3 linked regions of the Callithrix jacchus genome follow. The protein of the gene in region 2 interacts with the protein of the main gene of each other region in a biochemical or structural test. Links are inferred from orthologs where the notes say so. Each region holds a gene or a part of one and is shown on either strand. Other genes may lie near its edges.

Region 1 (5,778 bases), on a different chromosome or scaffold from region 2:
GAGCCTTGCTGTTCATCTACCCCTCAGATTATAGACAGGGAAACTGAGGTTCTGGGAGATCGGTCCTGGCCAGAATCACACTGAAAGTTAGTGGGAAAGTCAGATATAGTACCCAGGTCTCCTTCCTCCCAGCTCCAGACTCCATCTCCCTCCTGTCTGACTTCATTTCATTGATAGATTTCAGGCCCTTTCATTAACACTGTAGAGTCATTTTCTGTCCCCTACCCTAACTTCAGTTTTTAGTGTAAAGAGACAGGGAAAAGCTGTAAGTTAGAAACGAAGTCAGAATGTGAAAATAGTGGAAAGGTGTGAGCTTAGGAGACCAGCTGGGGCAGAGTGACCGCCAAGCATTACTCTCCCCATCTCTGTAAGAAAAGGCGGAGTCACTCACTGCACCCTCTTCGCTCTTAGGTACTGTAAGATTTATCCCCCAACTATCCCAGATCCGTGACCCCACATTCTCTCTCCATAGGTGGAAAAGAGGCTGTCTCAGACACCAGACCTCAGAAGTCCCAGAAGCCCAAGAAAGGGGCTGGGATCCCCCAGGCCTCAACTCTGGCACTGCAAAGCAACATTGCCCAGCGCCTCCTGGGCCAACCCTGGCCCCTGAGCGAGGCCCAGGTGCAGGCCTCGGTGATGAAGGTCCTGACTGAGCTGCTGGAGCAGGAAAAAAAGAAGGCGGCGGATGTCACCAAGGAGAGCAGCAGGAAGGGCTGGGAGAGCCGCAAGCGGAAGCTGTCTGGAGACCAGCCTGCTGCGAGGAACAAGAAGAAAAAGCTGGGGGCCGGAGAAGGTGGGGAGGCCTCTGTCTCTCCGGAAAAGGCCTCCATGACTTCCAAGGGAAAAGCAAAGAGAGACAAAGCAAGTGGTGGCATCAAGGAGAAGAAGGGGAAGGGGCCTCTTGGCTCCCAAGGGGTGAAGGACAAACCAGAAGAGGAGCTTCAGAAGGGGATGGGGAAGGTTGAAGGTGGAGATCAAAGCAACCCAAAGAGCAAGAAGGAGAAGAAGAAATCGGACAAGAGTGAGTGACCACTTCTCTGGCCCCACACCGAGAGCTGCTGGGCACCTCATGGGGGCAGGAGGGACCCTGAGCCAGCACCTAGTCTCATTTCTCCCATGTAGAAAGGAGAGGCTGAAACCAGCCTGGCCTAAAAATACAAAAAATTAGCTGGGCGTGGTGGTGGGCACCTGTAATTCCAGCTACTTGGGGAGGCTAAGGCAGGAGAATCGCTTGAACCCAGGAGGCGGAGGCTGCAATAAGCCAAGATCGCACTCTTGCACTCCAGCCTGGGAGACAGAGTGAGACTGTCAAAAAAGGCTGAGAAGTGGTTTGTCCAGAGTCATGGGGGCGCAGTTAGTGGCAAAGCCAGGACTTGGTTCCAGAGCACTAGGGCCAGCACTGCCAGGAATGCTCCAGAAGGATGAGGATTCATGTCCTCTTTCCCTGAGCCCAGTGCAGCAGATCTTGCAGGAACCTGCTTCTCCAGCCACTCCGAGTGCAGAGTAGACCAGACACCAGACTGTCAGAATCTTCATGCCAAATCCCATCTTCTCTCTAGACCTCAGTTTTCCCTCCATAGTAACACTGGCTTTCTACTGAGCTCTGTGCTAGACTCTGCATGCAGCAGGTCCTCATTTAGGTAGAAATGAAGCTCAGCAGATAGAAAACTGAGGCTCAGAGAAGTAGAGGTGCTGTTCAGGGCCACAGAGTTTTACTAGGTGGAACCAGAGTCAAACCTAGGCAGCACTCTGAAGCGCCACCCTGGATGGTGGGAAAGGGGTGTATGAGATGCCAGTAATGCCTAAAGAGCCAGCTCATTCTAGAGCAAGAGTCAGGCACCCTCAGAGCAGGATACAGGACCTGCAGCCCCTTGGCACTCAGAACTGTGCTAGATTTCCATTTACAGGGGGAATAGATAGTGTCCATTTAAAATAAAGTTGCAGTTTTAAAAAGTGAGTTGACCTAAAGAAAAATGGTAGTCATTCAGGTGGTCCATAGATGAGACAGAAATCATGAGCTGGCCCACAAGGGGCAGGTGAGCTGGCACTGCTAGGTGGTCACCAAGGCCACCAGCCTGTTTTGTTTTTATTTTTTTGAGTCAGAATCTTGCCCAGTCACCCAGGCTGGAGTGCAGTGTCATGAACGCAGCTCACTGCAACCTCAGCCTCCCAAGCTCAAGCGTCCTCTTGCCTCAACCCCACAAATCGCTGGGACCACAAGCGTGCACCACCATGCCCAACTAATTTTTGTATTTTTTGTAGAGATAGGTCACTGTGTTGCCCAAGCTGGTCTTGAGCTCCTCAGCTTGAGTGATCCACCTGCCTCAGCTTCCCAAAGTGCTGGGATTGCAAGCATGAGCCACCATGCCTGGCCCTGCCAGCCTGTTGTGATGGCTCCTGGTGATGTGGGGAGAGCTGGGAACCCAGCATCAGCAGAGACAAGTTTCACGATCCTGGGAGCCCTGCCCCTGTGCGCCTCTCAACATTGACCCCAGCACTTAGGATTACCATCTGTTGTTCAGGAAGTTTGCTTTCTTTCCTCAGGAAAAAAAGACAAGGAAAAAAGGGGAAAGAAGAAGAAAGCAAAAAAGGCCTCAACCAAAGATCCTGAGTCACTATCCCAGAAGAAAAAGAAAAAAAAGGTAGAGTGAGTTCCTGAAGGGTCTCAGGCCAGAAAACGGACCCAAACCCAAGCCCCTTCGCTCATACCCAGACCTGGTTCCTGCCCCCTTCCCCTTTCCAGGGCCTGGTGGGGGCCTCATGAGTTGTGACACACCCAGGGAAGAGGCTGGCAGGGCATGTTCCCTGAGCACGTGGAAGCCATAGAAGTGGCCTGCCACTTCTGTGAAGGGTGTTGGGGAAGGAAGGAGAGACTCCTCATAGCACAGGGAAACCAGGTAGACTGTGGAGGTTTCCAGGTGAGAGGAAGCATTGCCTGGAATGTGTGTGCCTCAGCTGGCAGGCTGGCCCTGAACAGGGGCTATCCTTACTGCCTGGTACCTCAGCACCTCAGATATAGATGAAGTTCTCCCCTTGGCCAGCAGGGCCTCAGCTGTATTTAGGAGAGCTGAACATCTGTTTGCCTCTGCCTTTGGGGGTTCCCTGAAGACCCAGTATTTGTTCTGGGGGAATTCACTAGTCCTCAGGAGGTTGGGGCAGCAGTGGGTAGGGAAAAGCTGCAGGTCTGAGCTTCTCGCACTTCCCTCCTCACAGAAGAAGACACCAGAGCAGACTGTATGATGGGCATCAGCACAAGTCACAGGTATGCTTCCCAATCATTCCTGAGCATTCGGGGCTGGAGAACAGCTCTGGCATCCGCTGTAGTCCCAGAGAGCCAGGCAGACCTGGGAAGAGAGCCTCTTCCCTGGTCGGTGGACTCCAAGGAGAAAGGAGGCGGGGGAAAGAGGTTCTATTGCCAAGGGTCCATGGGGCCAGTGGGATGACATCAGGAGCTGGCACTGCAGCGTCAGAAGGATCCAGAATGGTAATGGCAGTGGCTGACATTGAGTGTACCCTGGGTGCAGGGATTGTACATGCTTTAGGGGGTTATGCCCTGGGAGATGGAACCTGTTTGTAGGTGAGATCGGATACAGCTCGGTCTTTCCTTCATTTCTGTCGCGTTTCTTTTCCTCATGATCCTGTAACTTGGGGGCATTTCCTTTTGGGAAGGAAGATGGTTTGCTCAAGATGAGCTGTCTCCGTGGATCTATGCTTCTCTATGGAGGACAGGCCCTGCCAAGTGGTGGTGACAGTTAGCTGCTCCACTGGCTGTGATGGCTCTGCGGTCACCCAGCCTCCTGTAAATGGGGGCAAGGCAGAGCCCGCCTCCTGGGCTGGTGGTGAGGCTTATGTGAAACTAAACGCTGAAGGACTCAGCCCAGTTCCCAGAATGTTCCAATTGCTAAAAAAATGTCTGCTGTGGTTAATTCCTCTCCCCTGCAGTGGAGATGCCAGGCTTCATTTTCCTTGCAGGGGAAAAAGGTCAGAGAATCTGATGTCTGGGTGTGTTTCCTTCCCCCAGGGATTTTTCTATCCGAGTGGTGACCATCCCCCTGCCTCTGACCTCCGCGGACCTCTGCTCACCATGGGTTGGAAATAGATTGTTACCTTCCCCTCGCTCCACAGAAGATAGCCAGCTGCAGGGGTCCCTGTACTGGCCAAGCCAGTGAGCCTGCGGGGAGGCTGGTCTGAGGAGAAAGTGGGCCAGCTCCCATGACCTCGCCCTACTCCCCCAACAAGGGACGCTTCGTATAGATGTGTACAGTATGTGTATTTTTTTAAGTGACCCCTCCTTCTGCAGACCCCCCATGCCCAAAGGCCTCAGGACTTCCCACCACCTTGCTCCACAGATCCAGCTAGGCCCGACCTGTGCCTCATCCCGTGCCGCTCGGTCTCTGGCTGATCCTGAGGCTTTGTCTTCCTCTCGTCAGTTCTTTTGGTTGTATTTTTATTGGTTTTTTTTTTTTTTTTTAAAGAACTCAAAAAAATAAAAGACTTGGAGGAAAGGTTCAGGTTCCCAGTGCATCTGGGGCACAGGTTTCTTGGAAGGGACCATCTCGCCAACACTTGGGATTCCTTCTTGCATGTGTGTTGAGGCTGTAGGTGACCACGGTTAGTGGGACAGGCGGTGAGTTTGAGAAAGAGATGCAATGAAATGCCGAATTGGCAGGGAAGGCTTCCTGGATGAGGTGACATCTAAACTAAAGGATAGTCATGGTTGATTTCCTGTTGCCAGAGTAAGTCACGCAAATACCCAAAGACAAGAAATGGAAGGGGGCCTGAGAAGCCTTGAGCTAGGGGCAGGCTCTCTTGAGGTGCGTGATGGAGAATAGCTGTGGCAGACAGCAGGTCTAGGAGAATCAGGAGTGGTGAGTTGTCCCTCACATCGAGCTCACCATGGTTCTGTGGTGGGGGGGCAAGAAGCAGATGAATATGAAAGACATGACATGGGATGACGTCTTGTGTGTGGAATGAAGGAGGGGAGGGGTAGCAAAGGAGGTCTCCTGCTCCATCCTGGAAATGCAGAAGCCCACTTCCCTAGGCCCAGAATCATATAAAACACCAGGGGTGCTAGAGGCGTCTCCAAAGCTTTTGCCTCTGGAAACAGCCAGAGGTAGTGCAGAAAAGGAATGCAGGGCTGGAGGTGTTGGAGACCCTGCAGTTCTTGATGTTTGGCTCCTCTTAAAAAGACAACATCTGGCAGCAGGGGGGCTGTGCTCCCTCCTGGCAGCAACCAGATAGAGCTGAGTAGCAGTTGGCCCCTTAGGTAGGGCATGGGTGCCCAGTTCTCCACAGTCCCTCACTTCCTGTCCATCCCTGACACTGAGGCCCCGTCTTGGTTGCCATCTGTCTTCACATTCGCACTGTTCTTAGTATAGAAATGAAATTGGGGACGTAGGAAAATGAAAGCTGTACCAAGAGGAGCTTGTGCTTAAAAAACTAGGCAAGAGCTTATTTCTTTTTGGAAGTAAAGAGTGCTCGTGTGTGTTCAACATGTAGTCAAGTATATCTATGTCCAAGACTGCAGGCCTTGCAGGCATCTCTGTCAGTTCTTTGGACCGCATTGTCCCACCCAAATGACACGTTTAGGATCTTTAGTTACCTCCTTAGGATAAATGAACTGGATCCCAACAGACGAGCCAGGAGCCAGAGTGTTTCTACTTACTACTTTTTATTCTAACATGAGCTATGGCCCTGAGAGCTGATGACAAGCTCGACTGAGCAGAGGGAACCAGGGGTCAGCAGAAAGGATTATGGGTAGGGAATCTTGGCTCTTTC
Region 2 (5,878 bases):
TAAATGGCAACTTTGTACCTATAATTATTTTCCTATTTGTATTTAGATTGGCTTTTGTTATTTGTATTCTGCTCCATCTCCAATTTATAAATCTTTGTGGGTCAAATAACCTGAACACTGTCTTTTAACTAATCAAACAATATTGTCAGGTCTGTTTGCTACTAAGTTGGTAATTAAATTTTTAAAAAAATTGACCAAATATCTAAAGGCTTAAGTAAATAGATGGCTACAAAACAACAACAAAGTGCAAACGAAACTCCTATTTTAAGAAATCTGAAAAGGTTGCCACGTAAAATAGAGAACACCCAATTAAACTGGAATTTCAGATAAACAACAAGTGTTATTTTAGTTTAAGTATGTCTCAAATAATGCATGCCCTGTATTTTTATCTGCAACATTGTCAGAGGTTGTCAAACCCTAAGGATTAATGCAATTTTCCCCCCAATACTATCCATATTGTAATAAAAATGCCACCATTTAATAACTTAGAAAGCAATATCATTAAGCACATAAAAATGAAAAAGTAAAGTTATGAGTAACAAAAATTAAGTCAATTTCATCCATCCAGAAATGTGCAGACAGGACATTCACAAAGAGGAAATTATAAGCGCATATGGGAATGCATAAACCCCTGTCATGAGGAAATACCACTTCTTGTTAATTTGCATGGGGTTATAGTATTTTGAGTTCTAAATTTCTCAGCAGACCTAGGGGACAGAACTGAATTGTTTTTCAAAATTCTTTCTCTTTCTCAATAACAATTTAAATTCCAAGATCCTTTATCAAGAAGTTCAACTGTTTAATCTTTTCAGTGCTAGAAGATTTATGCACACGGGCTAACTATATGCCTACTAGACATTCTTGCCATTCACTGATACTTCCTTACATTTTAACAGTCTAGAAGTAACATTACCAATGTTAGCTCATTTGCACCTTAATCTTTAAAATATTAAGCATCTATAATGTGCCAGGCACCCCATCAGATGTTAGAAACACAAGATGAGTAAATCAAAATTTTGATTTTCTTTCCAAAGGGTTGCAGCCTATGAAGTCCATAGAATACGTATTACTATCACTTCACGTTACAGGTGAAGGATCTAAGTGGTTAAGGATTGAAAGGTCTTATGTCAGTTCTCACATATAGTGACTAAAGAGCCAGGGCTTCAGTAATCATCCCTGGCCCCGGGCTCAGGGCTCTCCGGTATTTTTTTCAAAGGAATTCCCAGAATACTTAGTATTGCATCCCTCCATTTTCCAAGAGCAAAAAGGAAAGCATCTGGGATCCCTCTATAATGTTCACGTGCGGAACAGGTGTTCTCTGGGTGCGCTAGAAAAGCAAGGCACGAGTGGGAGTTAAATATCCTAAACAACCGCTCTAACCAGACCAAGTTAATCTGTGGAAACCAGAGTACCGGGCCAAGGCGATGCTATTTCAATTGGGTGTCACAGGTGACTCATCAGAGACGCCTTGCTTTTGGGCCTTCCGATATTTTTCTTCAGGGTGGGGCGTCATATTTCCTTTGCATTTTTGGACAACAGCCCTCCTGTACATTTCCAAATTTTTCAGGTTTTACAGCTCTCACGCAGAGCTTGATTGCATACCGGAAGCCAGTCAGTGGCAGGAAGTTTACGGAAGAAGAAAAAGGTAAAAAAATGAGCCGGGGGCCAGGAGAGAGGCCTAAAATGGGGACATTCGCACTTGAAGAGCTTTCCCTACCCCAGCCCCTCAGAATGACAGTTCTCCTCCGCCAGAAGACTACCTCTCCCGGCAGGCACTGCGCGCTCGACGGCCACAGGCTGGCTAGCTCCCTGCTCTCCACCTCCGCCCGTATCTGCCAATAGGAATTCCCGGGTTGGGCCTCCGCCCAAGTCTGACCACGCGGGAGCGGGGGCAATCAAACTACATTACCCGTCACGCATATGCTCGCGTCGAGACCAATCAGTGCCAGAAATTCGTAGGCTAGGGGCGGAGCCAAATGCACAGTACACCCCATTGGCTAGGGGAAGCTTAGAAGAGCCGGAACCCGGGAGCTGGAGAAGCGAAATGACATTTCCTCTTTAAATAGCTGGAGCCGGGGCCCCATCGAGAAATGGCCGCGTCGGCAGGTGGGTTGTGTGGTGGCCAGGGCGGCGTGGAGGGAGTTGAGGGGGAAGGTTGGCCGGGGCCGGCCATAGGCGGTGGGATGAAGAGGTAGCGGTGTGGAGCCGGAGGGAAGGATGAGGAGGTAGAGGGGAATGAGGGGAGGATGAATGGTGCGGAGGGCGGTGGGCGGTCCGGCGGGACAGGGATGGGGAGGCTGGGTACCCGCCGTCGCTGCGACCCGGGAGGCAGCGGGAGGCGGCTTGAGGGGGCACCGGCGGTCGCCGTCGGTTGAGCTTCCTTCGTGAGGCTCTGCCCTCGGCTCTCGGCGGAGTTCTCGCAGACGCCTCACATGGGCTGCGAGCGCGTTCCCTCCGCGAGCACGGGCGCCGGGCTCGCCGGGCTCCGCAGGAGCAGGCTGGCCTTTGAACTTGTTCCGCCGATGGCGCTCCGCCCTCTGTCTCCTAGATCCTAAACTCGCGGTCCCACGAGGTCGTGCGTATATCCACAGACATATATGTATATATATATCTTTGTAGCGGGGAAAAAGCCAAGCAAGCAAACACACAAACAAAAAAAAATCCCGCGACGCCGTAACTGGCTCGGCACTTCTTGTGGTTGTACGATTTTTCTCCTCCTAGATTTAAGTAAATCTTCCCCAACACCGAATGGGATTCCATCTACAGACCCAGCCAGCGATGCCATGGACCCCTTCCATGCTTGCAGTATTCTTAAGCAACTCAAAACAATGTACGATGAAGGACAGTTGACAGACATTGTAGTGGAAGTGGATCACGGGAAAACATTTTCCTGTCATAGAAACGTTCTTGCTGCAATCAGCCCTTACTTCAGGTATGATGATGGTAGGAACTTGTGTCGGTATCTGCACCAAGCTCCCTTCCCCCCTCAGTATTGTCCACTTGATGTTTATACTGAGATGCAATAATGAAATGAAACCAATGGCTTTGTTTCTTGAGACTAGAAAACGGGTCCTCTCTTTTTAAGACCTTATTTTGACTTGAGGGATTCTTCTAGCGTTGAATTTTAAGTTACTGGGTCGGTGTGTGTGTTTGAGGTAATCTAGACTTGTGCTGGTCAGTATGGCAGCCAGTAGCCATGCGTGGCTGTTTAAACTTAAATTATAAGTTAAATAAAATGAAACATGTAGTTCCTCGGGTCCCCAAGTACACTAAACACTTTTTTTTTTTTTTTTTTTTTTTTTTGCGACAGAGTCTCGCTCTATCGCCAGGCTGGAGTGCAGTGGCGCAATCCCGGTTCACTACTTCCGTTTTCCGGTTTCAAGCAATTCTTTCTCAGGGCTCCGAGTTGCTGGAGCTATAGGCAGGCACCACCACGCCCAGCTAATTTTTTGTATTTTTAATAGAGACGGGGTTTCACTGTGCTGGCCAGGATGATCTCCATCTCTTGACCTCGTGATTCGCCCGCCGCAACCTCCCAATGCGCTGGGATTAAGGCGTGAGCCACCGTGTGGGGCCACTAAACATGTTTTCGGTGCTTGGTGGTCACCCGCAGCTAGTGGCCGCCATATTAAACAGCACAGAGATACAACATTTTCATCACTGGCAGTTATACTGGACAGTGCTGATCTAGAATTATTTTCAACAAGTTATCCATAACGCATGTTTCTTTAGTACATGGGACTCTTTTATAAAAGGGTTTAAAACATAGTAGTGTGTTCCTTTAAAAACAAATTACCATTTGATAGATTGTTTTAATGCTTTGGGGGTCAAAGCAGTGGAATAAAAAATGAGTAAAATATAGTCTCTACGTGCCTAAGTCCCCAAATTAACAATTTTCAATATTTCTAGACGTATGCTAAACTGTTTTTATTTTTACTTTTATTGTTTAAACTTTTAAAAATAAAATTTAAAAACTGGGGGCTGAAAAATAACTTCCTACTTTAAAATTAGTGGGAAAGGCAGTTTACTGTGTGTGTTTAACTTCTTTTGTGCTACCTGCTCACTTGAAGCTTTTCCGTATTCACAAGTGGTGCATAAATAATAGTAAAGTGTTCAACCGCACTCTGAATGTGATTTTTCCTTTTGAAAGTGCTTACCTATATAGGGAACATAGCCGTATAATGTTCCAACAGTAGTTTCTGGTTCCTCTTTCTCAGAATACTGGGTTAAATATAGTCATTTCAGTTTGATGCTTGTGATGTAACCATTTAGACTTGCCTAGGCTAGGTCATTGGACTACTAAGTATTAATCATTGCAATACGGAAAAAAAAAAAATAAAACCCACGTATGCAGAAGGTATGAAGTTTGGCCTGGTAATGGAAACTTCTGGTGAGATTCACTTACACAGATTATCTATTAGATATGGTTAGGTCATTTGTATGTTTAAATATACGTTACAATTACTACTTATCAAGCTTACTTTACATGTATTGCCTTATATAATCTTTATAATCCTATTTCTGCACAGTTGTTGTTCCATTTGACTTAGGAAGAAGCTGAGGCTCAGTGAGATTAAGTTTTAATAACACGCCTAAATCATCTATCCAACAAGCAAATGGCCGAGGCTACATTTGATTCCAGAGCCAGGCTTCTTAGTCAACATGTGACTCTTAAGAAACAAGAGTGGGTACAGTGGGTCCTTTTTAAAGTTTCCTGTAAAACATTTTTACTATATGTTACATTTGAATGGTTAAGAAAAACTGCAAAGTGAAAATGTCTATATCTTACTGAAGTTTAATAACCCAGATTATATCATTTAAATGTTATCCTTATTAAGTATAATACTTAGTAAGCATACTTAATAAGTATGACATTTTCACTTTGCAGTTTCATTTTTTTTTTTTTGAAGACCTAGAAAAAAATCTTACTTTAAAAGAAGTATGCTAGGATAGATTCCTAATTTTCTTGATTCCTTAAAATCTTAAACTCTTTATTAAGCTAATTTTAAAAAGGAGTAAAATATACTTGAGAAATTTTCTGAGGATATGATACAAGTGCATTAAAATAAAGATATTTGGCTAGAAAACTTAAGGATTAGAATTTGGTCTCTTGCTAGAGGTTTTTGTACTGACGTTTCTTGGTACCAGCATTACTTTATGTGTGGGATGTAGAAAGTCATACTTAATAGTTTCTAAGTCTTGCATCACTAGTGGAAGAATTAGAATAATGGGAAATCTGGAATGGCTGTTTCATGATACCAGTAACTCATCAGAATTGAAATTTGTATGATTATTAGAAATTTTTTGCTACTATGGATTTTGTGTGGGGAAGTGCCCTGGCTTCATTTATGTTGCATTTACATGAAGAACTTATTAGAACAGAGGAAAACTCAAGTGTCAGACCACTCCTGTGTGTAAGATGAGCCTATTCAAGTCTACAGTAGTTCCCAGGATAAAGGGATATGTGGTAATGTTTTCCTTTGGGAGTTAATCTCTCCGTAACACAGGGATGTATTTTTCTCTTTAATTGGTAGCTGTATGGTTGAGTCTTTCAGCACCTGAATTGAAAACCAGCACATACATACGAACATCTAGCTTTTAGTCATGAGAAAAGCCTATGTGATATTAAATTAAAATTTATACTGTAGAAGTAAAAATAGAACTTGAAGATGATTAACCTGCGCAGTGAGTTGAGTCCTTGTACCTCCAGTGTTTCTCATACTGCATTTTAAAATTAATTCCATGAGTTTGAGAGATATTTTTAAAGTAACTGGAAATCTTTGCAATTTATTTTTCATAACATCACAAAAACTAAATAGGATGAGTCTGGATCATCTAGAATGAAACTTTAAAGGAGGGAAAAGAAAGGCAAATGATG
Region 3 (5,878 bases), on a different chromosome or scaffold from region 2:
TATCTAAGAATGTAATCTTATCCATTACATGAGAATACAAACACTAATACAAAAATATGTTTGCTGCAATGTGGATTATAATAACAAATCATTAGAAACAAGCCTCCAGCCTGGCCGGGCACGATGGCTCACGCCTATAATCCTAGCACTTTGGGAGGCCGAGGTGGGTGGATCATGAGGTCAAGAGATCAGACCATCTTGGTCAACATGGTGAAACCCCGTCTCTACTAAAAATACAAAAATTAGCTGGGCATGGTGGTGCACGCCTGTAGTCCCAGCTACTTGGGAGGCTGAGGCAGGAGAATTGCTTGAACCCAGGAGGCGGAGGTTGCGGTGAGCCGAGATCGCGCCATTGCACTCCAGCCTGGGTAACAAGAGCAAAACTCCGTCTCAAAAAAAAAAAAAAGAAAAGAAAAGAAACAAGCCTCTAGGCTGGGTGCCATGGCTCACACCTGTAATCTCAACACTGTGGGAAGCCAAAGCAGGTGGATCACCTGATGTCAGGAGTTCAAAACCAGCCTGGCCAATATGGTTAAACCCCATCTCTACTAAAAACACAAAAATTGGCTGGGTGTGGTAGCAGGAGCCTGTAATCCCAGCTACTTAGGAGACTGAGACAGAAGAATCACCTGAATCTGGGAGGCTGAGGTTGTAGTGAGCCCAAATTGTGCCACTGCACTCCAGTCTGGGCAACAGAGCAAGACTGTCTCAAAAAAAAGAAAAGAAAAGAAAAAAAGGAAGAAAGAAACAAACCTCCAAGAGAAGGCTGGTAAGTACTGTACTGAATGTAAAAAATTGCATTCGGGGTCTTGGCACAGTGGCTAATGCCTGTAATCTCAGCAGATCACGAGGTCAGGAGTTCAAGACCAGCCTGGCCAACATGATGAAACCCCGTCTCTACTAAAAATACAAAAAATTAGCTGGGCGTGGTGGCATGCGCCTGTCATTCCAGCTACTAGGGAGGCTAAGGCAGGATAATCGCTGAACCCAGGAGGCAGAGGTTGCAGTGGGTGGAGATCGCACCACAGCACTCCAGCCTGGGTGACAGAGCAAGATTCCATCTCAGAAAAAAAAAAAACTGCATCCAGGCCAGGCGCAGTAGTTCACACCTATAATCCTAACACTTTGGCAGACGGATCACTTAAGGACAGGAGTGCCTGGGCGAGACAGGAAGACCCCCAACTCTCTCTCTCTCTTTTTTTTTTTTTCAGATGGAGTTTGACTCTTGTCACCCAGGATAGAGTGCAATGAGGCTCAATGCAACCTCCACCTCCCAGGTTCAAGTGATTCTCCTGCCACAGCCTCCCGTGTAGCTGGGATAACAGGTGCCTGCCACTACGCCTGGCTAATTTTTTGTATTTTCAATAGGGACAGCATTTCACCATGTTGGCCAGGCTGGTCTCAAACTCCTGACCTCAGGTGATCCACCCACCTCAGCCTCCCACAGTGCTGGGATTACAGGTGTGAGTTACTGCACCCAGCTGAGACCCCCCATCTCTTAAAAAATATATATATTTTAAAATTTTAATTAGTTGGGTGTGGTAGCACACACCTGTAGTCCCAGCTACTTGGGGGGCTTAGATGGGAGGACTGCTTGAGCTGAGGAGTTTGAGGCTGCACTGAGCTGTGATCACATCACTGCACTCCAGCCTGGGCAACAGAGAGAGACCCTGTCTCAAGAACAATGACAGCAAAAAAAAAAAAAGAATTTCATTCAATTATTAATTACACTGATACAGAACATTAACTGATGCAAAAAACTCCAAGACATTCCAGCTACTCAGGAGGCTGAGGCACAGAATCGCTTGAACCTGGGAGACGAAGGTTGCAGTGAGCCAAGATTGCGCCACTGCACTCCCATTTGGGCAACAGAGTGAGACTCTGTGGTACAAAAGAGTTCAGGATCAGTCAGTATACATGTGAACTTATCTTAGGACAAATTACCTAATCTCCCTGAGATTATTTTCTTCTCTATAAAATGGAGATAATACTACACATCTCATTTAAGTTATTGAGAGGATAAGAGAAGGCATGCTGGCCGGGTATGGTGGTTCATGCCTGTAATCCCAGCAGTTGGGAGGCTGAGGCAGGTGGATTTCTTGAAGTCAGGAGTTCAAGACCAGCCTGGCCAACATGGCAAAACCCCGTCTCTACTAAAAATACAAAAAAGATTAGCCACACATGGTGGCAAGCACCTGTAGTTCCAGCTACTTGGGAAGCTGAGGCAGGAGAATGTCTTGCACCCAGGAGGCAGAGGCTGCAGTGAGCAACCTGAGTGACAGAGCCAGACTCCGTCTCAAAAAGAAAAAATGCATGTAAAGGGCTAAGTATCTGAACCTTTGTAAACTCTTCACAAAAGATTAGTTTTTCTCACATAAAACCATTCAGAATCCTAATTCTTAAATGTCCAATTCCATCCAGTCCACTGTGAAAGCACTCTTTGCAGTCACTTAACAGTCAACTCTAAACAGTTCCAATACGAAAGCAGTTACATCACATGACAGCCTGTCCCAGCTTAAGAAAGTTCTTTCTGAGGCTGATCTGATTCTTTGCTTTTGCAGCCTGATCTGCTAAAAGTGCAAGCCATCCTTCTTAGTCCTGCTATCATCCTTGCAAAGGACCCCCTCTCTTTTCTCTCAAGGTGTCTTCCATGCAGGGATATCCGTTGATGGAGATTAAATATCTTTCACATTCCTGGTTGGCGCATCCTAAATTGCCGTAACTATGGTACAACTTTCACTTTTAGAAGATTCCTCGGCACAAGCACTGAGATTGCTACTCTTACACATAATCTTACTGAAACTCACCAAAATCTTATGAAGTGGATGATGACATCCCTGTAGAAAGACTCAGAAAGGTTAAGTAAGCTGCCCGGGTCACATATCTAAAAAGTAACAGAGCCTGGTCCCAAACTTAGGTTGGATTCTATTAGCCAAAGCTCCAAGCCCACTACCATGCCTGCTTGGTAGGGCTGTATATGACGCTCAATTCTCATCAGTGTAACTCAAAACAAAACTCTGCTCCTACTTTCATTCATTTTCTTCTTTACTAACGAAAATCCCAATCTTTATTCTAAAGCAATTTCACTTGCTTTTGAATCCCAGTAAATGCGATTGAGGGTAAGGTCAAATCGCGCTTTACCTCAGCCAACGAAAAGCCCCCCAGAAGAACCAGACGCCTAAGAACCAACGTCCTCAGTGGGACAAGGCGCTAGCTCCCAGCTGCACTATGCTAGCCATGTGACTTCGGGCCACGAGGCTCCCACGTTGCCGCTGTTGTATGGCTCACAAGAAACAAGCAACAAGACTCTGCGCTATCTAGTAAGACCTGGTGGAAGACGAGCGACCGAGGCCCCCAGGCTTTCTCTGGTCACTGCTGAGCGGTCGGCGCAAAGGCCTTGCAGACACTGGACTGGCGGACCCCACAGTCTTCCCCACCTGGAAACCCAAGCACGTCAGGGCCTAAAGCCTTGTGGTCATGACCCAGCCCGCTTCCCGTCCCAAGCCCGGGACTCACAGCTCCCGTCGCTTTGGCGAACTTATTGGCCACCTCCGAGAGTTGGTTATCGCGCAGGAAGCCGAGGACGAGGGGATACAGGTCGCTGGGAACCACGCGGCGCAAGCCGGCGTCCGCCATGCTCCGGGCAAAACGCGTCACTACCGTTGTCGACGCAGCACGACTCAGGAACCCAACAGGGGCAGTGGGAGGGCCTGATTACGTCATTGCGCCGCGCGGTCGCATAGCGGAAAGGGTGGGGCTCCACAGGGCAGTCCCACCTCCGCTTCAGAGGTAGGGTAGACGGGAAATCTAAAAGCTCTTTCCGGTCCCACGCGTATCGCCATCTTGGTCAAGGGCGGAGCCCACCAGCCGCCGGTTTGTAGAGGCGGGGCTCTGACGTCAGAGGTCACGCCCTCGGCGTGGCGGGAAAACTTGGGACTTCCCGCGCTGTCTTTCTGGGGGAGGTACCTTTTCTCAGAGCAGCGGTTTCCCGCGCCCCTGCCAGGATTCGGATTCCAGAGTAATGAGTGGACAAGCGGGCTCTAACAGTCCTTACCCTCTCCAGACTTGGTCACAAGATCTCCCAACCGCCCCAACTGGCGCATTAGCGCTGCCGATGGATTCTCGCCCTTCATCTTCACTGCCTCCAACACTCAGGGAGGCCCTTTCCTCTCTGATACCATCCCAGCCTCCAGACTCGTCTCTACGCAGAAGAGCATCCTTCAAGTTATCCGTCGTGGGGGTGGAAGGTACTGATTTCCCAAGCCGCCCCTCCCACTCCCTTTATATTCCGCCTGTCAGCTCCACGAAGGGGAAAGATGTCATACACCAAACCTGAATCACACACCTCTTCAAGCTGAAGAGACTTGAAAATAACCCTTCTTCCTCCGATATCAGAGTTCAAACTCTCCCTTTGTCATGAGTAACTCCAATATCAGTGCTCAGACCTACCAAGTGAATTCCAAGTTCTGCAATACTTCAGATCATATTAGCAGTTAGCAATCCTTTCAATCCTACCCACTACCCCTTGGCTACCTCCCACTAATGCAGTTCAGGAAGGATAAGGATCCACTTCCTCATGGAACACTCCCCTCTCCTATATAAAACTGGCCAGGCACAGTGGTTCACACGTTATTCCAACACTTTGGAAGGCCGAGGTGGGAGAATCCCTTAAGCCTAGGAGTTAGAGGCCAGCGTGGACAACGTAGTTAAGACACACACACACACACACACACACACCACCCTGTATCTCTACAAAAAAATTTTAAATTAGCCAGGTGTAGTGGCATGCACCTGTGGTCTCAGCAAGTTGGAAGGCTGGGGCAGGAGCATCTACTGAACCAGGGAGATGGAAGCTGCAATGAGTTATGATCCTGCCACTGCAATCCAGCCGGGACCGCAGAGTGAGATACTCTCAAAAATCAAAACGCTGGGCACAGTGGTTCACACCTGTAATCTCAGCACTTCGGGAGGCCAAGGTGGGTGGATCAACTATGGTCATGAGTTTGAGTACAGTCCTGGCCAAGAGTGAAACCTTGCACCTACTAAAAATACAAAAAAAAATTAGCCAGGTATGGTGGCAGGTGCCTGTAATCCCAGCTACTTGGGAAGCTGAGGCAGGAGAATTGCTTGAACCCAGAAGGCAGAGACTGCAGTGAGCCGATACACCACTGCACTCCAGCCTAGGAGACAGAACAAGACTCCATCTCAACAACAAAAATCCAAAAAGCAAACTCCACAATTCCCTTTTTCATGCTTCCGGTTCTACGCATATGCATGCATTATTTAAAACATTTGTTTTTGTTTTGAGATGAGAGTTTCGCTCCTATTACCCAGGCTGGAGTGCCATGGCACGATCTCGGCTCACCGCAACCTCCGCCTCCTGGGTTCAGGCAATTCTCCTGCCTCAGCCTCCTGAGTCCTGGTACTACAGGCACACACCACCATGCCCAGCTAATTTTTTGTATTTTTAGTAGAGACGGGGTTTCACCTTGTTGACCAGGATGGTCTCAATCTCTTGATCTCGTGATCCACCTGCCTCGGCCTCCCAAAGTGCTGGGATTATAGGCGTAAGCCACCACGCCCAGCCTATTTAAAACATTTGAGCAGCTACTGTGCCATGCAGTGTGCTCAAGCTATTAGAAAATGATGAATGTAACTGACATGATTAATGTACACACCAGTCCCAATTTAGAAAACCTTTCTTTGGAACAAGTGTGAGTTTCTCTAGGTCCTTGTTATGAAAATCCCTTCCTGGACCAGTATCATCATCCCATTGTCAGAATCTACATTCTAGAAAGATCTCTAGATGATTCAAATTCCCTTTAAAGTTTGAGAAGCATTGTCCTAGATGACTCATTTTAGACAATACATCAGAAGA

Evidence for each region.
Region 1: the proteins of KBTBD8 (region 2) and TCOF1 form a complex in vitro, tested with the Homo sapiens proteins (2 studies listed by BioGRID, with this or other methods). The link is inferred for Callithrix jacchus from reciprocal best matches to the Homo sapiens genes KBTBD8 and TCOF1.
Region 3: the proteins of KBTBD8 (region 2) and NOLC1 form a complex in vitro, tested with the Homo sapiens proteins (2 studies listed by BioGRID). The link is inferred for Callithrix jacchus from reciprocal best matches to the Homo sapiens genes KBTBD8 and NOLC1.

The regions. Positions count from the first base shown.
Region 1 is NC_133503.1:49,110,956-49,116,733, forward strand, and holds part of TCOF1 (treacle protein), read left to right. Parts: intron 1-472; coding exon 473-1,021; intron 1,022-2,544; coding exon 2,545-2,641; coding exon of another isoform or gene 2,642-2,642; intron 2,643-3,211; coding exon 3,212-3,262; intron 3,263-4,021; coding exon 4,022-4,169; 3' UTR 4,170-5,778.
Region 2 is NC_133516.1:48,791,759-48,797,636, forward strand, and holds the start of KBTBD8 (kelch repeat and BTB domain-containing protein 8), read left to right. Parts: upstream 1-2,010; 5' UTR 2,011-2,090; coding exon 2,091-2,106; intron 2,107-2,305; exon of another isoform or gene 2,306-2,419; intron 2,420-2,721; coding exon 2,722-2,932; intron 2,933-3,384; exon of another isoform or gene 3,385-4,390; intron 4,391-5,878. UniProt on the Homo sapiens protein: Substrate-specific adapter of a BCR (BTB-CUL3-RBX1) E3 ubiquitin ligase complex that acts as a regulator of neural crest specification.
Region 3 is NC_133513.1:95,103,879-95,109,756, reverse strand, and holds the start of NOLC1 (nucleolar and coiled-body phosphoprotein 1), read right to left. Parts: upstream 3,659-5,878; 5' UTR 3,637-3,658; coding exon 3,517-3,636; intron 1-3,516. UniProt on the Homo sapiens protein: Nucleolar protein that acts as a regulator of RNA polymerase I by connecting RNA polymerase I with enzymes responsible for ribosomal processing and modification.